2 linked regions of the Schizosaccharomyces pombe genome follow. The main gene of each other region encodes a partner of the protein of the gene in region 2 in a complex. Each region holds a gene or a part of one and is shown on either strand. Other genes may lie near its edges. The genes, in order: nup120 and nup37. A codon is read from its position in the direction of its gene.

What was found.
Region 1: the proteins of nup37 (region 2) and nup120 are in contact, whole or in part, in a crystal structure (PDB 4GQ2), measured with the Schizosaccharomyces pombe proteins. Residues at the interface, in NP_594761.1 of Schizosaccharomyces pombe: Arg15 (codon at 6,118), Tyr17 (codon at 6,112), Leu71 (codon at 5,781), Gln107 (codon at 5,673), Lys130 (codon at 5,604), His134 (codon at 5,592), Phe136 (codon at 5,586), Asn138 (codon at 5,580), Asp162 (codon at 5,508), Asp163 (codon at 5,505), Cys164 (codon at 5,502), Thr165 (codon at 5,499), Pro182 (codon at 5,448), Leu183 (codon at 5,445), Ser184 (codon at 5,442), Gln199 (codon at 5,397), Arg205 (codon at 5,379), Asn206 (codon at 5,376), Asn208 (codon at 5,370), Arg210 (codon at 5,364), Asn231 (codon at 5,301), Pro232 (codon at 5,298), Trp233 (codon at 5,295), Leu234 (codon at 5,292), Leu235 (codon at 5,289), Thr236 (codon at 5,286), Asn238 (codon at 5,280), Leu240 (codon at 5,274), Pro241 (codon at 5,271), Leu242 (codon at 5,268); in NP_596674.1 of Schizosaccharomyces pombe: Val409 (codon at 7,607), Pro410 (codon at 7,604), Thr411 (codon at 7,601), Asn412 (codon at 7,598), Met413 (codon at 7,595), Ser414 (codon at 7,592), Ser415 (codon at 7,589), Gly416 (codon at 7,586), Asp417 (codon at 7,583), Ser419 (codon at 7,577), Glu420 (codon at 7,574), Asn468 (codon at 7,430), Leu471 (codon at 7,421), Ser472 (codon at 7,418), Val475 (codon at 7,409), Ser476 (codon at 7,406), Ile478 (codon at 7,400), Gln479 (codon at 7,397), Ile480 (codon at 7,394), Glu481 (codon at 7,391), Pro482 (codon at 7,388), Leu486 (codon at 7,376), Thr487 (codon at 7,373), Gly488 (codon at 7,370), Tyr489 (codon at 7,367), Tyr491 (codon at 7,361), Tyr494 (codon at 7,352), Lys495 (codon at 7,349), Tyr597 (codon at 7,043), Glu601 (codon at 7,031).

The regions. Positions count from the first base shown.
Region 1 is NC_003423.3:4,009,937-4,022,977, forward strand, and holds nup120 (nucleoporin, WD repeat Nup120), read right to left. Parts: upstream 8,915-13,041; 5' UTR 8,832-8,914; coding exon 5,421-8,831; 3' UTR 5,290-5,420; downstream 1-5,289. Other genes in the region: mrpl3 (mitochondrial 54S ribosomal protein mL44), read right to left, coding at 1-233, 273-836; Sre1 cleavage-activating protein Scap Scp1, read right to left, coding at 1,522-3,853, 3,911-4,839; Fe-sulfur protein Isa2, read left to right, coding at 10,373-10,818, 10,888-11,059; vma7 (V-type ATPase V1 subunit F), read right to left, coding at 11,266-11,492, 11,551-11,686; GrpE domain-containing chaperone mge1, read left to right, coding at 12,611-13,041. UniProt on the Schizosaccharomyces pombe protein: Functions as a component of the nuclear pore complex (NPC).
Region 2 is NC_003424.3:4,865,623-4,876,710, reverse strand, and holds nup37 (nucleoporin), read right to left. Parts: upstream 6,368-11,088; 5' UTR 6,212-6,367; coding exon 6,186-6,211; exon of another isoform or gene 6,135-6,185; coding exon 6,058-6,134; exon of another isoform or gene 5,985-6,057; intron 5,889-5,984; coding exon 4,816-5,888; 3' UTR 4,685-4,815; downstream 1-4,684. Other genes in the region: ceo5 (TTC27 family TPR repeat-containing protein), read right to left, coding at 1-1,136; glutaredoxin Grx1, read right to left, coding at 1,752-1,885, 2,009-2,106, 2,275-2,327, 2,422-2,442; hit1 (HIT zinc finger domain-containing protein), read left to right, coding at 3,958-4,025, 4,139-4,535; SPOM_SPAC4F10.17 (uncharacterized protein), read right to left, coding at 7,752-8,123; SPOM_SPAC4F10.16C (P-type ATPase), read left to right, coding at 8,601-11,088.

The sequences.
Region 1 (13,041 bases), on a different chromosome or scaffold from region 2:
GCTTGACCTTGTCCCAAGAGGTGATGCCCACTGTAGGCTCCAATGACAAAAACAGGTTCTCTGCTTTTTCTTCCCGTCTCGGCTATAATGCGATAGACTGGTTCCTTTAATGAAAGCCTTTTACATAAACGAGATAGTTGACGCCGAGGCCATTGCAATTGTAACATTGTTCTTGGGTCTAATTGTTTAGATAAGATGTGGTCATTAATAAATTTTTTAGTATCATTAAATCCCTGTAAAAACATTAGTAAACACTGATAAAAATTTCTTACTTGATGTAGGTAAACTCCGCCCAAAATTGCTAAAATGGCTCTTCGCGCTGCCTCATCTTTGTAAATTTCACCAGGCTTCCTCAGCATTTCAGGGTCAGCACGCTTCGCTAAAACTTTTCCAAATGACTCTTGTAAACCTTCTTCTCTTCTCTGTACTTCAAGACCCCAGATAGTTGCTAACTGACTCAAAGCCTTTGAGCCCATCCACCCATTTTGCATGCCATGAACTGCTTCCTCCGGCAGCCTGGGGTATTTGCACTTAATGTATTCAAGAACATAGAAATCACCAAACACTTTCCCTATTGACCAGAGTTTTTCGTTAGAATATTGGGGGTTTTGAACAACAGTCTTATCGATCAGTGCTTGAACAAGAACTTTCATTGGATAACTTTCAGGAAGTCCAATTCTTTTTTTAAGGGTATAAACTTTTGAGATTGCAATTTTGGATGAAAGAATATTTTCGATCAACGATTTGCCGCTGTTACTGTACCACCGAACCCTCGCATAGTCTTTCATAGATATGCTCCTCCGAAAGGTCGTTGTTGATCTGCTTATAAACGACATGGTATTTTTAGTTACAATTAATTATAAACTGTATGTATGCAGCATACAATAGTCGTTAAGGTGGTTATTAAACAGGTTGAGGTAAAATAGGCGGAAGATAACTTTTAAGAAGTGGGTACGCGTTCCAGAAATTCAAAACGAATTTTGGCTAATTGTCTTTAACATTGGGATTAGTTTATTAAGAAAAATCTACTATAAACAAAACAAATACAAATTTTTTAGTAAATCCATCCTAGTTTAGTTGCATGAACCTCATGGATACAAACCATAAACTTCTGAACATTAAAATTAGTGTTGTTGTCTTCCTAATTTACAATATAAAAAAAAAAATAATTATAAACAACATCTTTAATTTTAATCCACATGTTAGAATAGTTATGAACGAAAAAAAAAACATTTCATAAATTATTAAAAATACTAACAGAATCAGCAACTTCCCACAAACGTTAAGTGTCTCGTGACATTAGCAAGGCCGGCTTGCAAATGCTAACAAAATAATTGGGTAGATATTAAATAGTTAAAACACAATGGAAGCACATATTTCTTATTCAAGAACGAATGATAAGCCCTAAAGTGGTCTTATAACAATCCCGACAACCATGACATGCTAGCAAACGGTATCGCAGCTATATATACATATATATATGCACATCAACATAGGGCTAATAAACAAGAAGTACTAATTTTAACATCCGATGGTCCCCGATCTTTTTCTCTGTAAATTTTTTCTTTTGCGACGTAAAATTCTGTCCATCTCATCGGAATTTCTGATTTGGTAAAAATCACGAAAGATTTCACTTCCATAGCCGACTAGTGCAACGTAATTACCTAGAACAATGGCTACGCATCTATCAGAGACTGCAAGAGAAGGTCCAGGGTCTGCAATAATTAAAGAATTATACATCTTTAAAGATTTGCAGCGGTGCTTCTTTTCAGATTGAGAGTACATCCAAACTTCCCATACCTGGGTTTCACCACCACTATGCGTATTTTTTTTGTGTTCCATGTCTTGCATATAAGAATCTAGAAGGGGTACATAAGACGTCCAATTGTAATGGCCAGTTCGCAACTTTCGGTTACGAAGAGTAAAACCATTATCTTCGTTTTTCTCATCTGCTGTTGGACAAATCCCCGATGAACTTTTTCTTCGCATGCCAAATATGTAGAGTCCATCTGAGCTCATTACACATTCACTAGCATCTTCGACTTCATGGATATTTTCTTGTAGTTCATCAAAGGTCAAGCAAGCCAGCGAATTATCAGGATCGTGTACGTCCACAAGATTTGGCTGTTGATCCCATTTATTCAATATAATATAAGACTCATTACATTCATTACCGTAGTAATAATAAAGAACCTTTTCGGTAACAGCGTGAGTAAAACAAAACGATATTGATGACACTCTAAACTGTCCATTAACAAATCGACTGTTACTCACGCCAACTGAAAAAGTGTTTACTTTTATCGGCGGCAGTGTAAAGGAATGTAATAGTTCATCGTTTTTAAGGTCAATCATGTCGACACCACTATCTCGAGCAAGAAACAAAATGTCCGCCATTGCAATTCCATAAATATCTTTTTTTGTTTCTGTTAGATAATTTTTGTTTTGAGATAAAATCTTTGGGGACCAGACGGGTCCTTTTTTAGAATATACAGTCACTTCACCGGATTCAGTCAAACAAGCAATTCTATTAGCCGTGGGTGAAACGATACTTATTGATTTAATAATCGGAGAACTTAATTGAAACTTTTCAACCAAAGCTATATCTGCACCTTCAATTTCAATAGTCAGACTAAAAACCTGAATTTCGCCTGAGCTTTCAACAACCACTAGCTCAAAGTTTTTCCATTCATCATCTTTATGCGTACCCGGCATCCAGAACACGTTTAATTTGCTATTTGGCTTACAGTGATAGGAATGTTGAAGCATCAAGCAAGGAGATTCTACATTCAGAATGAATAAAGTATCCTTTGAGAACAACGAAACGTAGTTTCCCTGAGGATCTAAAGCTATTGCTTTTAACGTCCTGGGCATTTGTTCTTTTGAAAGTACAAGCTTTGTACACCATTGACGTAAATCCCAAACTACAAGACACCTATCTAACCCGACGGAGGCAAACGTCTTATAGTTTTCAGATACAGCAATTTTTAAAATGTCAAGCTGATGATGAACAGGAACGGGTTCTATTCTGAATTTTTCCTCATGTAATGTTGTATCGGTTGAAAGCTCGTCATGGTCAGACCAGCCTCGCAAAAGTGCTTTAACAAGCAACCCAACCGCAAAATCAATTGCGAACAGTATGCTGAAAAATGTTGACCATCTCCATACTCTCCGGTCATGAAACGAGTTGTAGACATTAGTGTAATCACGACGGTTAACAGTGTCAAGAATAACTGGTCGATACAAAGCAATAACAAGGTTTTCCGCCATCGTCTTCTCTTTTAATGCTTCTAAAAAAGTGGGGTCACCAAACCAACCGGTCGTAATCAGTGGAAATAACTTTCGTTCTCGTAAAATACGGCCTAAACGATGATATAACGTAATGAGAAAGCGAATGTTAGGAGATGCTAATCTCCAAGACCCATTGATATCTGTACTGGATTGGAGTTGTAAATAAATAACGTACATATGAAATGAAACAGTACCAAGATTATCGATAATCCATGGAGACCACATGAATCTTACGTATTCTAGATACGGAACCCACCATTTTGAGTTTCGATTAGAAGAGTTTGAATCTAAAAAATCTTGCAACTCCAAACGACGTATATCGACACTTAGGACCGCTAGAAAAAAACTTCCATGCAGTAAAAAACTAACGACGAAAGAACAGGCAAGAAACAAACAAAACTCCTGCACCAGAGGATAAACAAAGAAGCTCAAGACAAAAAGAGTCAATAACTTCTTAAGTAAGGATGAAAAGGAGGCAATAATAGTACTAGAAAACCCTTCCATTATACGAGAAGGAACACGCTTCGTCTGAGGAGAAGCGATTACTGCGCGTAAAAGTCGAAATCTGATAAGTTAGTAATAAAACGTTCACATAATGACGAAGTATAGCAAAAAAACTTACGAGTTTTCAATGTCCATAAATATGATAATATAGTAAGCCATAGGCCATGGACATATGGGGCCCGTTCTTTCAAAGAAATACAGCAAAGAACAGGTAGAGAAGTAGGCAGTACCGCTTTGAATAAATATAGTCGCTGTAAGACCAAATTTAGCACGAATATCATGCAACCGCACAAGTGACAAATACAAATATGCAAAAAGTCCGACTCCAAACCCAACCCATAGGTACCATCTGTAAATAACAGTAAGGTCAGGAATACGTGCTACGACAGTGGTAGGGGATGTATCAAGTAAACTTGCATATAGATTAGGAGTTTCGGAAATAAATTTCTTTAAAACAACATGAAAAGTATCGACTTGTTCAGGCTTTAAAAAGTAAGTAATCACAAAAGCACTAAGCGAGTCAAAACCTTCGGCTATTGTATCATTCCTAAGCTTGTTCACTTCACGCTCATTTTCAGGAAGCCCTTTAGTATATGAATATTGAGCTACAGGATCAACCTTACCATAATATTTTGGTATTGGAGAAATAGTTACACAGGATTTTTCATCTCTTATGCAAGGATACCCGTATTCCGCCAAATATTGATGGAAGCTTGTTTCCCAACGATACGCGTTTGAAAGATAGTCTTCGGAAAACACTGATGTGTTCGTTCCTAAAAGATAGAGTTGTTTCGTAATAACATTTGCTTCAGCATTGATGCTCTCGGCATACCAAGCCGACCATCTAGCTAATGATTGATCGTAAAGGGATTGCTGATACGCTACCAACGACGAATATATACCTGTGATTGATAAAAGAGTAAACACAAGAATGAAATACCAAGGATTATTGGCAATACAGTAGCTGTACTTGGCAAATAATGAAGGGTTAACTTGCCGAGCATACCCTCGTGAAATTCGGCCTTTTCCAAGAGTAAAAATCCTCATAACGATATTTTCAGTTCAATAACATTGGTAAACGTTCATTAATTAGATCTTTACAAGACCGATATACCCAATTCACTGAGAATCAGTTTTCGCAGGTCTTGGTGTTTTGTACATTCCTTCGGGACCCGACAAATTTAAATTCGGGCACACGGCGTGCAATTTCCGTACACTATTATTAATAGAGAATTATTTAATCTGAAACCAAAAGTTTCAAAAAAATGTTATAAAATAAGGAAATAAAAATTCAAATATATAATTATTGTTGGTTCCAACATTCTGCCGATACTAGCCGTATCTCAACAATATTTCCCAACGGACAACACTAATTAGCAAACTGCGGCAAGCTGCAGCAAAAAGGTCGGAATTATAATTCGTTAAAGATATGTAAATACCAATGCTATCGAAAGTATATTTATATTCAGAATTTAATTTTATAGAAAGAAGTTAGTTATTTATGGCTACCCATCGCCTCAATGAAACTAAAGATGATTTAATTACTAAAACTCTGCCAAGCATATTGCTTTTTTTCTGGATTTTTCTAAATGAGAAGGTTAAGCTGCGTAAATAATTCTTTGTTGCCTTTATAAATCGATATTCATGGCCGATGACATTTCAGCTGTAACTTGAACAGCGACATCCTTCAACTGTAAGTGATATTCTGCTACAATTGCATCTAGAGTAAGTAATTTTTGTGGAAGAAAGTTAGGGTCAGGTTCCTTGTCCACGGACATGTCTGTCACAAGAATCCATGTATCTTCTTTCGGAAGCAACTCCAGAGTGTTCAAAACAATCAAATAATGTTCTATTATAAAAGTTCTCTCCTTTTTTCCAATTAATTCTGTAGTAGAGATATACCGGCTCAGTTTTTCATAAATAATTGCTGCTGCGTCTCGATAGTTTTGATGTTTATACCGCCAACTAAACAAAATATTATACCAGCATGGTTGTGATTCAACGTTAATCATTTGAAAGGCCTTTCGCTCAAGCAAATTGTCGACGTCCTGTCTTAACGTTGGCATTGAATAATTTAGAAGCTGATTTATTTTACCTTGTTTCGTTAATTGATTTACAAAGTCTAGTAAACATGACTTTTTCAAAGGCGTAGTGGATAAAACCATCAATGCAACGTGAGCAGCGTCAAACTTTCCTGCTGCACAAGCGGTTTTTAAAGTCTCATGGGTAATTGCAATAGACAAATCTTCGTCGTCAGTCTCTTTCGAGGCATCTGCTAATAAAGAAAATTCTAATGCATCTATATATGCACTCTCCTCGAACAGCTTTTTTGATAGATGAAGGTAATAACACGATAATAGGTTCTGATGGTGGTATTTTTCAGCAATTTCTTGAAACTCCCGTAAAACTGCGAATTGAGAAGTATGTGAGTAAAGGACTAGAGAAGTAGTCTTGAAACATCGGACAGCCTTAACAGCTTCTTTCGATTTGAGATAAATAAGTGCTTTCAAGTAGACTGCAATTGGGTCAGAGTTAAGCCACCCTATTAATTGCATACATGCATTATATTGTTTGAATAGAAACAACTTTTCTACAAGTTCAGTGACCAGATCATTTTCCGTATCGTCCCTTATAAAGATTGCCGACAAAGACGATATCACGGTAGCATGTAAAGGTGAAATTTGGCTTTCTGAGAAACATTCGGAATAATTCAAAGCGGAAAAAAACTGAAGGGCTGTGTTAACACTTGCTAAAGCTTCCATAGTATTTAAATTACAGTTTGTTGAATCAACATCCTCCTCCTCAAATTTTTCTAGCAAAAGTGCAGAATTCTCTAAAAGAAAACTCACAAGACGCCAATCTTCTAGTAAAGAAAGAAATAATTTATCACATCCTGCAAATTTGGATTGTAACTCATAATCCTGCTGGCTAGTTATCAAAGAAAGTAGAAAAATAAATCCTTCAATAGAGACTTGAAACTTTTTCAAAATACTGTCCAAAACCCGTGCTACCGATGCACACAAAAATAAGGAAGGGGATTGAGCGGAATGGTTGTAAATATCGAAACTTCTTAAGCGTTGGATAAGAGAATCAATGTCGCGCATCGGGTTTTCAAGAGAAACTAGAGTATCAATTAAAGTACTGATATAATCTGGATCGACGTTGGGATATATGTGCTTGTCATAAAATACCCACAATGTATCAAATAAAGAATAAGATGGCAAATCCTGGACTAGTTCTCGTAATGAGTATCTAATTTCAGATAAAGTAGAAAATGACATACAGGAATGTAAACTCCTACCAAGATCCAGAATTTGATAACCTTCAATTAGAGAAGGATCATCTGTTTCAAGGGAACTAATTAATTTGGTCAACGGCTCTTCGTCAAAGGATTCAATGAGATAAGGATCCCTAATAAAAGCCACTTTATTTGCATAATTGATATATGTAACAGCGTTCGAAGGATCGAAGTTAATACTTAATATTTCATCTCCAAAATGATCCAGATATGCAACAAGTTTCGCAAACCTTTCCCATTCATTATATAATAGCCGCTTATATTCATAATAATCGTATCCAGTTAAATCTGAATTTGGCTCTATTTGGATCGTTGAAACTATAGACGACAAAACGGCATTTTTAAGTTCACTTATAGTAAGTGCGCCAAATTTATCCAGTTTATTTTTTGAAACTTGCGAGGAGCTGTTTTGAAAGCTTAAAAGAGCAACTTGTATAGACTCAATAGATGTATTATGTGCAAAAATGTGTTGTAGCCAAATCTCTGAGATATCCCCAGACGACATGTTTGTTGGAACGTCAAAAAAGGTTTTTTCTATGAGGGAAAAGCTATCCAAAGAGTGACTCCAAACGCATGAAAAACTCTCGTCCTGATCTAGACTAAGGTTGCATTTTTGGATAACGGTATTTAAGTTGCTTTTCCAAGCAATAATGAGCAAAAATTTAGATTGAGAGCCCTCTGACGATATCAGTTGAAAATCAGAAAGCATCCATGGTATGAACTCATCGTCTGGTAAAGAAGGAGGAATTATGCCCTTCTCGATGACAACATTTAATTTAAAAGAGTGGGCGTTTGCGTTAAGTTTGTAAATTGAAAAAGAGCCATGAGAATTATCTGGGTAATACAGAGCGATGAAAGAATTAGTGGTGTGATCTGAAGTTAAATAAGGAAAGGATTGTAGAGGAAGTATAGTCTGTGACAGTTCAATGGTTTCGACGCATTGATTAGTAGACAAATCCAAAACTTTTAACTTATAGTCAAGCGATAGCATCACAAGAACATTATAGGTAGACAAAAAAATCATTGAAATAATAGTATTAGGAGAGCGGTAATCTGCCTTAAATGCCTGAAGTGATAGATATTTTTTTAGGGAAAACAAATAACTAGAATCATCAATATGCTGTTCGTAGTGACTAGCGTCTTTTGGATTTAATATAATCTTTGTTAAACCTCCATTGAAAAAGCTTACACAAATTTCAGACGTGCTAATTGCGGCCATTAAATCGGGTTTTTGATTCAGAAAGGATATTGGTCGGTAACAAAGACACCAATCGTCGTCTAAGCGAGCGTCCGGTAATTGGAACCAAGTTTTAGATAATCTAATATAATACAAAACGCGAGCGTGAGTAATAGCATATATAATGGTCGTGTCGGAATGCTCACTGAACGAGAAAGCTACACCGTCCTTCATTACGTTGGATGGAAAATGAATTTTCACATTAAATTTTGATAAAGGCTCCTTCTTAGAATTTAATGAAACATCAAAGATAGTGAGTGTTCTGTTTTGGAATATACTCCATCGTAAAGTTTGTGAACCTTTGCTTTTATTTGAGGTATAAACACCTGCATCATATGCTACACATTCCTTTTTAAAAAGTTTTTCATTATCATCAGCTGTTTCTATAGCTTCAGAATCGTCTTCCGAGTCGTTTTCGAGAGCTGGAACCCACAACGCCAAAGTTCCTTCCAGACAAAAAGATTGTAAGTCTATCGGAACTACCGCATGCTTTAATTCATTCATATTTTGATTTTATTTTTTACTGGTAGCGGTAATACCAGTAGAAATACCAAACAAATAGCTAACAATAGGGGGCAGTTCTGGTTGAGTATCGTAGACAACGACCTACACGAGTTAGCGTAAGACAGGCCAGTCCTACAACGAATTTATGAGAAACGCGTAAATACGAGTATATTTGTAATTCTTTAGCTTTTTAGGGTAGAGGGAGATGGAATGTAAAACTGAATTTTCTTCTTGAAGATTAAGTTCCTTAATAAAATAGAATCATTTGATTGTGGATGAAGAAAGCTAAACAATTTGATAGTTTTTATTAATCGAGCAATTCCTTTGTATTCATAATAATAAAAAAGGAATCAAATATTCATTTAAAACTCAAGAGCTTAAATGGATTCTCTATTTTATTTGTGAAATTACATACAACAGTAAAAGATCTTCAAGATATCAGAAGCCTTTCTTAGATTATTGTTAGTTTTTTTTATTATTTTTTGTATACCTGTAACTTTTTAGCTGTTGTTTTAAGAGATTAAATCTATTTAAATTAACAGTACTCATCTTTAGGGTCTTAATTTACAGCCTTTCAATCTTTTTTAATAAAATAGTTTTCTAATTTTCTAGTTTTGTTTATTTTTAAATTTTGCAAATTCTTAGTAAATAAAACATGTAATATTTTCAACCATACGTTAAATTGTAAATTACATTTTAATAAATATTAATTACGTGCAAGGGTGAATTATTGTTCATTGGCATGCAATTTATAATTTATTTTTTTTATTGCAGATACAACCAATTCTAAGTCTAATAGCCAAGATCTCTTATACCTGATTCAATATTACAATTGCGGTGATATGTGCTTGTACGAACACCCGCAACTTTATAGTAATTAAGCGGTAGTACATACACTGGTATCACGATAAAGAATTAGCTAAAGTAGAAGATTGTAGCAATGGCATCAATTGTGATAAAGACATTTTCTGGATGTGATCCACCGGTCTATGCTAGAATTAAAGGATCGACAATAAATATCCAGAAGAAGAATTAACCAAATGGGTTGAAATTATCTCTAATAGCTAAAAATCTATTCATTTAAAACTGAAAGAGAATTAAAGGAGTAGGAGTACCAAAAGGTAAAAATAATCCAAAGATATTAATTTTGACTATAAATCATCACAAAATTTAGTAGCATACAACATAAGTAAAAAAGAACATTAAATAATTCTAGATATATTTGATAAATTCCCCTTATTCTCTACTAGCTATGGGTGTGAGAGTTTTGTAAGTTCGAATTCAATCTATCCGATATAAATCTCTTAGAGATTGGGTGTTAACTAATAGGTAAATCCCTGAATTTGACTTTAGTCTATGACACACTCGTCAAGTTATGACTATTTCATTTATGTACTTAACTTCTCTATCTCATAAACATAAGCACCAATTTGGAATATACTGAATTAACGAAACAGAGCGTAGGCAATTTGACTTCTATTACGTTACTGTATGTTTACAAGTTAGAAAGTCCTAACTTGTGGCTATAATACTTTGCAGTGATGCTTATGAAATCGCGAGTAAACTTATTGTTTAAAGGACCATTTTTCTTTCGAGAACGTTGTTTTCAAACACTCTTAAATCCTGTGATCGCAATTCGACAGCTATCGCATGGATCGCTTAGAAATTCTCGATCATGTAGAATTGATGCGAAATCGAATACATTAACGAAAGAAATATTTCCCAAAATAAATAATGAATTCAAAATCAAAAATCGATTTTATAGCTCAAAGCTTGCGAACGACCAATTCACGCTTCAAGAGCAATGTGACGAGAAGGGAATCCCTTTTATTTTATACGTGAAAGATTCAGCGAAAAAACAGTTAGAAAAAATTGCAGAAAGGAAACCAGAAGAAAACTCTGTTTTGCGCGTCACTGTCGATGGTGGTGGATGCCATGGATATCAAGTATCTTTTCGCATGGACAACAAAATTGGAAATGCTGACACGTAAGTGATGTGGTTAAGAAGACTATAAGTTTTAATTAAGTATTTCCTGGTTATTGACTAAATATCTAGGGTATTTGTGCGTGGAAAAGCCAGGGTTGTTGCTGACAACATTTCATTACCTTTGATAAGTGGCTCTGAAATTGAGTATACAAATGAACTTATTGGTTCCTCTTTTCAACTTTTAAACAATCCACGTGCCAAGACTTCTTGTGGTTGTAATGTCAGTTTTGATGTTGAATGAGATTTATACTTAAAATAATACATTTCTCTTATAATCACTTTTCTATTTATCAAATATAGTTTAACAAAAACTCTGCTTACAATTTTTTGCTAGTATGCCAGTAAGTAAACCAAAAGATACAAATATAAAAGTGTCATCAGTCAAATCGATCGAGTTGTTGACTAATTGAAATTATTGCTCAAAAAATATAATTAAATATTAATAGTCTATTCTCCAATGATCTTTCTAACACGACGGAGGATACTGTCCTTTTCAGGATCATAAGGATCGTCTTTGCTAGGAATTTCCAATACAGCAGGGAATGCCTGCACATGGTTTTCAATACGATCACGTATTCTTTCAGCGGCAAACTGGTTAATCAATACAATCGCAATATCCTTCCTTTTCGTAGTATAATCATCAAAAGCTTCAGCAATCTGCTCATCTGTAGTCTCTACATAAAACAGCAAGTTAGCGAAAACACGATTCCATTTTTTAACAGATAATCTTACTCTGAGTAATTATAAAAAAGTTTTTGTCACCGTTTTCATTTACCTGACCAGTTCCAGCTAAAAGCATCCCAGTAACGGTATCATCGTCTCCAATTACAGAAACAAGTGTCCGTTCTCGATATGATTGTGAAGACATGATTTAGAGAGATAAGTATTTAGAAAATCTAGGTAAACGTCCAAGCAGGAAAATAGGAGAGTATGGTGCTACTTGAAAGCGCAACTTCTGGACTAGTAGGCGATTAAAAGTGTTCAGTGGTTGAATCGTAAATTTTCACAAAGCTTAGATAAATATTTAACAGAAAGCTATGGCTCTGCCTCTACAATCCTCAAATGTATTCCTGAGTTTAAGTAGTGATGGTGGATGAAAGTGTAAGGTCCAATACCGATAAGACATATCTGACACTTAACTAAGGTACCTTTTATTATGAAGACTTCTGTAATTAAGAATATGATATTATTATAATAGGAATTTGTGAAAATTCGACTCCCATAAATTGTTCAACAAATATCATTATGCAAATAAACTGATGAATGTAAAAATAATAAGATGGCCCAGATGACACAAATAGGATTATTTTAAAACTTAAATTATAATATTCAATTATTTTACTTTCAAAGGCTGCGAAGTAAGTACTTCGATATAATCCAATGCCGTAAAGCATACCAAGAAGGATATAAATATAGATGAGAAATCAGTTAATTATTATCTGTTGAGAATGAAGCTGAAAAGAATAAATTAATAATTGATAAGCATATGAGCCGTTGTTGGCTTCCAGTGTTGAGCAAATTCGAAATTTGGGTTGCTTTCCTACATGCATGTTCAAACCTACAATCAATTTGTTACATATCGAAATAGAAGCTTTAATTTGAGAAAAAAGTGTCATTTATATATTTTTTGAATCAGCTTCCATCTCAAAGTCCATACCTCATTTAACGAAACATAACGAATTTTTAAGTTGATGAAATTGATATTTGTAAAATTTAACAGTGCTAAGTTCACAACACCATTTGTCTATAGTGTGACACAGTTGTCTTTTACCACAAAGCTCTCACTGAAACAATGCTTGGGCTTGGAAGAGTATTTTCATCCGCTGTACGTCCTCGGACGCTTATTCGAGCACCCATTAATAAACGCAGTTTCCTTTGGTACTCAACTGAGGCTGCTAAGGAAGAAAAGCCTGCTGAAGAAAAAGTTGCCGAAACAGAGAATGTTGATGTTAAGGAACTTCAATCTAAGCTTTCTGAGCTTAAAAGTAAATATGAAGCAAAGGACAAAGAGGTTGCGGAGTTAAAGGGTAGCATTCGCCAAAGCTTAGCTGACTATCGTAATTTGGAAAACCGCATGAAGAGAGACATGGAGCAAACACGTGCATTTGCTGTTCAAAAGCTTACTAAGGATCTTTTGGATTCTGTCGATAATTTGGAGCGTGCTCTTTCAATTGTTCCAGAGGAGAAGCGTAACAATCGTGAGTCCAACAAGGATTTAGTTGA
Region 2 (11,088 bases):
AGTTGATCTAACAATGCTTGCATTTGAAGAACACTACGTTCAACAGTTCGACTTTTAAACCCCTCGAGACGAGCACGTACAAGCAAAGCCATTGTATAGACAGACCAATTAACAGGATAAACCAAAACGCGCTCTGCGTAAGGCGCCATTTCTTCACGCGTAAGTCCATCATCAGGATTGTTATTCTTTATGATATGGCAAAATGCAAGTAATAGAGATGCGTCCAATGGATCAAGTTTCGAGGGATGATTGGGATCTTCGGATGACAAAATCGGATCAAGTTCTTCAGAAGGAGCCAATGATTTTTGATCTTCTTTAAAGGAGATTTTCTCCAAAAGAGTATCATCATTTAACTCAAATGTTATCGGTTGAGTGCTAGTTGATTTGTTCTGCTCGGTATCTTTGCATCGGTCTCTAGACTTTGCTAAAACAACTAGCTGCGAAGTATCAAACGTTTGGAATTTTGTGCGTCGACCAAGAGCACCAGTTAATTCAAAATGAAAGTCCATTACTTTTGCTGATTCCTTCATCAACTGCAGAGCTAAAGTATCACGACCGTAATAAGATTGTATGAGGCCCATTTCCATAGTAAACCGCCCTTGTAAATCTCGATCTAGTGAAGAAACATGACTACTCACGATATGCATGCCTTCCATTATTTGATTAAACAACTCTGAAACGTGCTCTTTAAGCATTTGTTGGTGCAAAAAATCAAGGCGAGCTTTATACCATATGTGCAAAGGATCTTTGCTATTTGCGTAGTTAAATAAAGTCTGCGAAAGTAAAAGAAATAAAAGTTTTGGTGCAAGTCGATAAGGCCTTTCTCCTTCCACAGTTAAACTTTTTATAATGGCATCCTTTAATGTAGCCTCGTCGCGTAAACGCTGTGGAAGCCATATTTCAGGCTTAATGGGAAGATATGGTCCAGTATAATTATTCTGAATAAAATATTCCAACATCTGTATTGCAGTCTCAGCGAATTGATCACTGCTGACATTTTTCCCTAGCGGCTTTGAATCCCAATATTTGAACAAAAATTTAGGAATGTCAATACTAGGACAGAAAAACTGATCATATTCTTCTGTGCTTTTTAGAGAACCTCCAAAAAGGACCTCTTTATTTTCTATTGCTACCATTGTTTGGCAAAACTGAAAATTTTTGATTCAACAAATATATTTTCAGACAATCAACCTATTAAGCATTTATCCCGTCTAATAGTGGAATTTCTGTATTTAAAACAAAAAGGAAATCAATTCAATTCAGTAGTGAGTAAGGAAAATAGCTATTTTTTAGTTTGCTACTACAGGAATTGAAGATTGGAGTTGGGAACTCTGACTAATGTACCCAGAAATTTATAAAACCCAATTTTCAAGAATAGGTTCAGAAACTCTTCGAATTTACAGAGGTCTAATGATAAAGGATAAAAATGGCATTAATATTCCTTGATTTTGTTTTACCAGTTCAATAATTAAATTTTCAAAAATTTAAATCAGCTAGTACAAATTGTGCACAGATGAGTTACTTAATAAAGTAATCGAAAAGAGCAGTATTTCTCGAGTGATTTATTACTCAAAATAAAAGCAAAATTTATGTGCTATGTTGTAGTTAGTAGCTAGGAAAAACAGCTGCATCTAAGTTCTATCATTAGCTTTAAAATACCACAGATTTAGATTTAAGAGCTTTATAATACAGGTTTCTTCAGTTTGAGATATGTAATTTAAAGAAAAAAATTTATTGCTCATAGAATTTCATTAGGCAGTATTAAAAAGAGAGTCGAGCTCGCCCTTCTTGAATAATGCTTGGAAATCCGAGTTACCACCAACATGCTTTTGGTGAATAAAGATATTGGGTACGGTACGTTGACCGGTCTTCTTCAATAAGTAAGCTAATCAAGGAGGTTAGTATGCTTTTTTTTATACCATCCATTTTATACAGACTCAAGGTCTATTATATTATAGACAGATCTAAACTAGCATCAAGCAAAACAACAGATGCAATAAAAACTTACATTGAATCTCATCACCGTTGTTCATAAGGTCAATCTGGTATACCTGAGCCTTAATTTTCTTATCAGCGATCACCTTTTCAGTAGCATGGCAGTAAGGGCTAAAATTAAGAGTTAATATCACTGCTTAACAAAAAAAATTAAGTAGTCGGTTCTAGGCATATGGAAGTGTAATTTGTTAAAACAAAAATACAAGCGTTCAAACTATGGTAAGCCAGTGTGACAAATACACGCCCTTATGCAACGATTACTTTACTAAGCAAACGTACCAGTAAGACTTGGCAAAAACAACAACATCGTTGTCAGCAACGGCAGAGTCAACCTATACAGAAATGTTAGTACCCTGTAAAAGAACATTTTACCAAAATTCAGCGACATTGTGGTTAATCTCTGATTCTAGCCAAACGGATACGTACAAATGATTCAACACTAGACATGGTTCTAATAACGTAACAAACAAAAACCTTTAAATTTGGTGGTATGTGGTAGGCAGATATGTATTATCAGTTGTGTATTATATATATGTGCATGGTTTTCCATATTGCTAATTCATACGTCAGTGGAGCACGTATCCCTAACGTTAGAAAAGTCTAGTAGACTTATACGTTAGTAAACGGTTCAATAACCGAAAGACTAGCATATGGCAGGGAATATAATGAATTTTATGATTTTTATTATTTTTTTTTTAAAACCGCCTATAATGATTTCGTGCAGAGAATTGTACTAGTTGGATGTTTTCTGTTCTGTATGACTTGTTTATTCTAGCGACTTAGCGTGCTTTGCATTGTTATGAATAATAAGACTAAATGATTGCGATTTCGAATAGATTTCATTTATTTACAAATCTTATGAGCTCTGGCTACAACAATTAATTAATTAACGGATTTAAAGTGCATAGAAAAAAAAAGGCTAACCTATTTTTATAATTGCGTATGTTTAACTTGAATTTTCGTTATCTGTTAAGTAATAACAGTCAATCAATTGAAATAAAAATTGTGAATTGAGACCAAATATACCTTCATCGAAAAACCCTGCTTAAAATCTTTTTATTATCTATTTTAGTTTTCTGTGTCGATTTGTTACGCTAAACCATTTTTAAGCTTCTAATAAAGCAATGATATTACCTTGCTCAAAAACATTTGCTCTTGATCAACTTAAGCTATGTTGCCTACCCATTGACATGAACGTCAACAATTTAGCTAATTAGATAAACTAATGATTTACTATTTTCCTTTTTAGAAAAAAATTCTGGAAAATAGAGCTGTAAATCAATTAGCATTTTAAATACATGATTCGATGTTTCATCTGCTAACTTTAATATACGCAATTAAGTAGATATTTTTGAATAATGACTCTAAGAACGTCTCAGCATTATACAAGCATATCCTTAAAGATTTTATCAGATACTTCCTTTTATATTAAAAAATGAAAGGTTGTGATTCAAACACGTTGCTTATCATTTAAGATCGTTAGGGAGGGCTATAAACAAAAAATTGGAAACTGAGGATACTTTACAACAGCGCTTTGATCCTTCCCAAAGAAAGATTCATAATTTATTTCCTTTAAATAAGTACTTTTTTTAAAAAGCTTAAACTATTTACGACTAAGTCACTAAAATTCGTAACCAGAAAATCATTAAAAAGCTTTATATAGTGAGGGGTAACGATAAGTAAATCCACCATGCTAATCTAAAAAAATGTACTCGCTAGAGATGCAGAGATAGTTTATATTGAGAATATTCAAAAAAATATTATTTTACTGTTTACCATAGCTTTCGAACATATCACAAAAGAGGGAAAAACCAGAGCCTTTTTATTCAGTGTTAACTGTATTTTGAACTAGCAAGGTTTGACGTTACTCTATTGCTCTTCTCCCTTTAATCTTATTTTGTTTGAGCTTGTCTAAAAAAAAAGGTTTCTCCTCTAATACATTAGAAAAATTTAAACGCTATCATGACAACTTGTTCAATATGCAACGAATCAGAAATAAAATATAAATGCCCGAAGTGTTCATTTCCTTAGTATGTGCTTGTAAGCTCAGAACAATGCATTTTGTTTCAATACACATTAACCCATGAACCAATGCTTTATTCTTTTTTTCTGTTTCCTAAAAATACTAATATAGAATTAATAGTTGTTCATTACCTTGCTGGAAAATCCACCAAAGTCAATGTGAGACTGTAAATGACAATAACACAACAACATTCAAAGGAGTTAAAGAACCTTTAAACCCCCCAGAACCTTCTCCTAATGTTATCTACGTTAATGGAAGAATCCCAAGTTTAGCAGAAGAGGCATTGCCAAGTGAAAGTCTTTTGGAATCTATTGTCGAAGATCCTAGCATAAAAAATTTAATTGAAAGTAATGCCGAGCTTTTACATATAATGAAAGAATTAGTGAACCTTGACCGTGAGGAAGAGGGTTCTGTTCCTCTGAAAACCTTAGATGCTATTCAGCAACAGCGGCTACACAATCCATCTTTCGAAAAACTGGCATCCATGATTCTGGAAAAATATTATGCTCAAAAATAATGGGTTTTATCATTGTAACGAACATTTAGAAGATTCAATTCAAATCGCATATCGGTTATTGGAAGTTGAAATATCAAAGGCGATATTTGAACCAAGGCGAATTGTTTACGAAAGCAACACATCCATTTAAAATTTTTAAAAGTAACAGCGTTTACACGATGTTAATACATAGCAAATACTACTTTTTGGTTTAACTATGAACATTAATATTTATTCAATACAATTTCCTCTCCTGAACCCGTTTATTTTAGTTCGATGTTAAGTATATTGTTCTATACCCTCATAATCTCGTAAACCCCATCAATCTGGTAAGCAAAACAGATCCTTCCGTAGCTATAGCAAGATGTGATCCATCTTGGTGCCAGCAAAAGTCAACGATGGGCATACCTAATTGAATAGGAATTGAATTCGAGTCCTTTTCATATGTATTAATGAGCTGTATTAAGCCGTGCTGAGAATGTGCCGTAGCAAAGTAATCCATGTAACGGGGATGTGGGCAAGCACCAAGCAAGGATGGGAACAATGAAATGCCTTGCACGTTGGGCAGTAGATTTTTGGGTCCCAATTTCATAGTGGAATCCGAGATTTCATTGTAATCGTTATTAGCAAAAAGATTCCAACGAAGCCAAGCCCCACTTTTACACATTGCAAGTATACCGCTTCCATCACTTCCGATCCATCGAACGTTAGCTAAAGAGGAAGCAATGCCGCTACTATGACAGGTGTTAACGAGTGGCAGGGTATTCAAAGTCAAAAGCCATGGATTTTTAACCAACTCGGTTTGAGAATTTTCTTCAGCTGATAAATTCAAAGTCCAGTCAAAAATCCTAATATTACCATTCCTTTCTCCAACAATCAATTGATTAGGATTAGATGGGCGAAATTGGACACTAATACCAGGGGAAGACAATGGGTATCCAGCTAAAATAGGCCCTTCATCAGTCAGTCTCCATATAATCAACGTACAATCGTCGCCCACAGATGCTATCACCTGCTCAGCGAGACGATTATCAGCGGAATAGACGTCTGCAATATCGATATCATTCACAAAATTATGATGCCCAGATTTTCCGCCCAACACATGTTGAGTAATAATGGTTTCATTCTTTGTAATTATTAGACGAACTGTATTATCCTGACACACACATGCAAGAAACAAAGAATACACAGGTGAGGAATTCACATTTCCATCGCCATCATGCAAATTCTCAGAATAACTACAGCTAGATGAAAAAGAAAGATGCAAAGTGGGTAACCCAGTTTGAATAGTGAACAACTCTTGTAATGTCAAACCTGTAGATCCGGGCGTCTGTTCTTCTGAAGCACAATAAATAGTGATACCCGTATCATGGCCTGTATAAGGTTAATCATTAGTTTAAAACGTTTAGAGGAATGCTATTTGAAGATAATTGTTTCATTAGCACTGAGGTTTTCTCAAATATTGTAACTTAGGAAAACAGAAAAGAAGAAATGAGTAATACGTAAATTACCATTCGTCGTAACATTCAGATATCTTACATACCTATGGCAAGAAGATTTGAACAGGAAGGAGACTGGGAACACCAAGTCGTTGTATACGGGCGGACATTAAGAGGCAATCTAATAAACAGAAGTTAGAAAGAGACATAAACGAAATAACGCTGAACGTACTGATACTGGTTAGAGGAAAGAGTCATGACGAAAAATAGTTTTCAAAAAAAACGGAAAGAATGAACGCTTTATTGTGCAGACAATAAAAAGATAAAGAAATTAAAAATGCATTTATATATACAAATGGAAAAAGAGAAGTTTCGGCCACGTTTTCTAGTGATATGGTGTTGCAGGTAACTAGTGGGTTACGTGAATTGGATGAAGCTGAAGAAAACGTTCTACCTTACGGAGCCAAAACTACCACCATTAATTTACAAAAAATCAAACGAAAACCTATACAAAGCAGTTTAGATAATGAAACACGATAAATATAACCATTTTAATGCAATTACTAAAATTTGTACTTATACTAAATATCTTTTAATAATTTAACTTATATTCAATTAACAAATAGAGTGTTTACTAAATACATCAAAATAAAACTATATGTAAAAAAACCAACACGATATTCCACTGATTTATTGCAGAACGAAAAGTAATAATTGCGTTCCGTATGAAGTATACAGCGGTTTTATTCTTTCCAACACGTTCCCCAAGCCAATTACATAAACCGTGACACAGGCTTGTGAATAGTGTGGATAAAAACGAATGTAAAGCATTGTAAACGACAAATGGGGTTTTTTATAGCATAATGATCATTTTAGCAGTCACATCTTCTCGTATAAACCAGATTTTGTGGAGGGAGTAAATGCAGTAAATATTGAAAATTTGAAAAAACCTTCGGAAATCTTAGCTTGGGCATTTCATTCTGAGCCGAAATCTTGGCAACTTCAAAAACCCAAGGGCTATGGCTATTCTTGCTTCAAGACTAGTAAAATATAATACAATCGAGTACTATCATGTTGGTGAATGATATTATGTTATTGACTGTAGAGCGTATATAACATGAGAATGTCACTGTACAATAACGGAATTTATTTACTTTAAAAATGTTGGCAAGTTGCAATACAAATTTGAAATTATTGCTTTGAACAGCCTTTGGGATTTATCGCTATGCTTACAACGAGCGGCATTGAATTTACTGGAGTAGAATGGCATGAATGTGTTTGACCAAAATGAGTATTATTACCATTATCCATTACAATGCCTTTATACAACTATCCGGCCTATAGAATAACAAAATTTAAATTTGACCATAGTAGCTGTTGACAGCATGTGGGCCATAAAGTTTTTACATACAGTCAAGTCCATACTAAGGCTAGCATCGGCAATGCAAAATATGCAGTATCACTGCCACGAATACCAGACTATACAACCGGAATATAATTAACACATCTCGCGATAATCTCATTCTTATTTAAATCATGAAATTTTTTTTTTTTGCTATCATCAAAAATTGAATTTATTTTGTAAATAAAAGCCAGGAACCGTTGAACTATGATTTTTAGTTTATTAACAATCTTCTAGCTTCGTTTTGTAAATCATGCATTGTTCGTTCATATAAATCCAAAAAGAAAGCGATGTTTTCAAACGTGAAGCATCTTTAAAATCATAAAGAGCATCAAGGAGCTTGTATACAAGCTTCCACTCAATACATTAACTCGATTCATTTACAAGGAATCCTCTTTATTCCTTTTTAACACCACCATCACGATTCATCCCCTCACGACGAGTTTCTTCGAGTACGTTTTCCGACCGTTGGCTAAATTCCTCTTTTATTTTCTTACCAGCATCTTTCGCCTTTTGCTGATAGTCGGTATCTTTTGCATCCTTGGCAGTTTGCTTTACCGATTGCTTTGCATTCTCAGCCATTTCCTGTGGTGACTTATCTTTGTTTTCATCTATCTTTTTCGAAGCCTTACCAGTTGCTTTTTTGACAGTTTGACTGATTTTCTCAGGTGCTTCTTCCAGTGTTTCTTTTATATATTGACGAATTGTTGTATTAGCAGGATTGGTTGCCTTCCAAGCGAAAGCAATTCTTGCAGCACGAAACGCCATGTTAACAATATGAAGATAAAAAAAATAAAGCAAAAAATATAAAATTTGTGTAAGTTTTAGTTACCAACGCTAGTGGGTATGAACTAAAACGTTATACTTTATCTGTTTATGGTGCCTTAGCAATTTTCCAATTCTGTTTTCTTTTTCAAGACGAAAAAAATTAAACAACAATAAATATGCTTTATTTGTTGTTATTGAGAAATCGTTTATTTACTTTACCCATACCCTTTGCACTGTATATATAGTACACCCCAGCACTTAAGGATTACATCAATACACATCATCTTGCCATACCCATTTTGCCTCCTCAAAGGACTTTCTCTACGCCGAATTTTGAGCTTAATTGAACTAATTCTGTACGTAAGCGATATCAATTCTGTTTATTTCCCAGTTGTGTCATTGGTATCGTCGAACGTTGCAGTCGTTCGTAATTCTGCAACTGATTGGGAAGAATTTGAGGAATTGTAGATCCCTTTGATGCCTAGCCTAATCAATTTTGATGCTATTAGTTCATTGAAATCCTCTTTGCATGGCTTATCCATATGTGCTTTTAATCATCTACACCATGTACCTCAGCACAATGGCTCATTAGCTCATGAGGGACCTACAAACCAAACTGATTATTCTTCTCGTCATCACGAAAGCCAGTTTTCACAAGAAGCACATGCGGAACAACGTTCGAGGGATGATGAGGAAGCTAACTCTTTTGAAGGTTCGTGTAACAACTCAGATCAGTCATGGACTAGCCGTGTTACATCAAAGAAGAATGAAGCTGGGACCGAAAGTGGAGATGCTTCTGTTCGCAGAATTTACGTAACTAGCATTCCAGAAGAACACAGGCATTTACCATCGCAATGGTTTCCTAGTAATAAAATTCGCACAACCAAGTATACTCCAGTTTCGTTTATCCCCAAAAATCTTTGGAATCAATTTAAAAACATAGCAAATGCTTTTTTTTTGTTTGTCACTCTTCTTCAATGTATTCCGTTGTTTTGTCCCGAGCACCTGGGCTTATCGTTTATTCCTTTGAGTGTTATTTTGCTTACTACAGCTATTAAGGATGGAATTGAGGATTATCGGAGATGTGTTCTTGATAAGAAGTTTAATAATACCTTAACTTGGAAATTGGTAGGGTTCAATAATGCCAATGCATTAGGCGAGCATATTGGATTATGGAGAAAATTAAAAAAATTTATTTCTCATACCGTCGCCGATATGTCCTATTGCCTTAAAAATTCCGGTATCTCATCTGGGCTCGCTACCTTAACCGTGGATAATATATCCCACAGGCACAGTCTCGAATCCGACTCTGCCTTTACTTTATCATCTGTTTCACAAGATAGTCTTGAGATTCATGAGATTGGTAACAGTGGTCCTTCCAACAGCTTTTCTGTCATCCAGGAACAATCAACAGGCTCATCGAATGCCAAATTTGAGCGTGTGTGTAGGAAAAGTTTGCTTGTGGGCGATATCGTTAAGGTTTTGGCTGATGAAGCGATTCCTGCTGACTTGCTCATCTTAAGCACAGAAAACTCAAACGGTGTTTGCTATGTGGAAACAAAAAACCTTGATGGTGAAACTAATTTGAAAGATAAATACGCATTATGCTCAACAAAATGCTGTAAATCAGAGTATAGGTGTAGTGCGGCATCTTTTTGGGTTGAATGTGAACAGCCTCATGCTGATCTGTACAGTTTGAACGGTGTCGTCAAAGCACCCGGCGCTGTGCAATCACCGTCTGAGAGTACAAACGGAAGAAAAATACATGAAGAACCTTTTAGTATTTCTAACGTTCTACTGTGTGGGTGTACTCTGAGAAATTCAAAATGGGTTATTGGTCTTGTTTTATATACAGGATCAGAAACTCGCATACAGAAAAATCGAGGGTTAACTCCTTCTAAACGAAGTCGCATTACTCGTGACTTGAATTGGACAATAATTCTCAATTTTCTATTATTGTTTGCTATGTGTTTATTTTCTGGTGTGTTACGCTCTATCTATTCAGCTCAGAACAACTCTGCAAGGGTGTTTGAGCTATCAAAAAATTCAAACACCGCTCCTGCGCATGGCATCATCAGCATTTTCACTTCCCTCATTCTTTTTCAAAATTTAGTGCCGATTTCTCTATATATCACTATGGACATTGTTAGAAGCATACAGTCCTATTTTATTTTTAGTGATCGAGAGATGTATGATGAAAAACTAGACTGTCCTTGTTCTCCGAAATCGTGGAACATATCCGATGACCTTGGACAAATAGAGTACATATTTTCAGACAAAACCGGAACTCTTACTCAGAATATAATGAGTTTTAAAAAATGTTCAATTAACGGTATTCGCTATGGCAAAAGTCACAATGAAGATACATGCATCAAAAAACGAAGGAATTTAAATTACAATGAAAACTTATCATGCAAGGTTGACTTGGATAAAAAGAAAATGCTTGAGACATTAAGTTTAAGCGACTCACCTAACCCAGAATCAATCACTTTCATTTCAAGTAAATTCGTCGACCATCTGCAATCCAACGAAAATTATATTCAAACTGAAGCCTGCTTCGAATTTTTTAAAGCACTCGCTCTTTGCCATTCTGTGGTAACAGACGTCCAAGACGAAACACTTATTTACAATGCTCAGTCTCCAGACGAAGAAGCATTAGTGAAAGTTGCTCGTGATTTCGGGTTTACGCTTCTAAATACAAAAAACAGACGCTATACTATTCGCATTAGGGGTGAAAATAAGAATTTTCGAGTTTTGGATATAATCCCTTTTACTTCTACGAGAAAGCGTATGAGCGTGATAATTCGTGATGAGGATGGTATAATTCATTTAATTTGTAAAGGTGCGGATACGGTAATATTTCCAAGGCTTTCCAGCGGACAAAACAATATCATTGAAAAGACGAAGAAGCATTTAGCTTCATTTTCATCCGAAGGATTTCGTACGTTATGTATCGCTCGTCGAA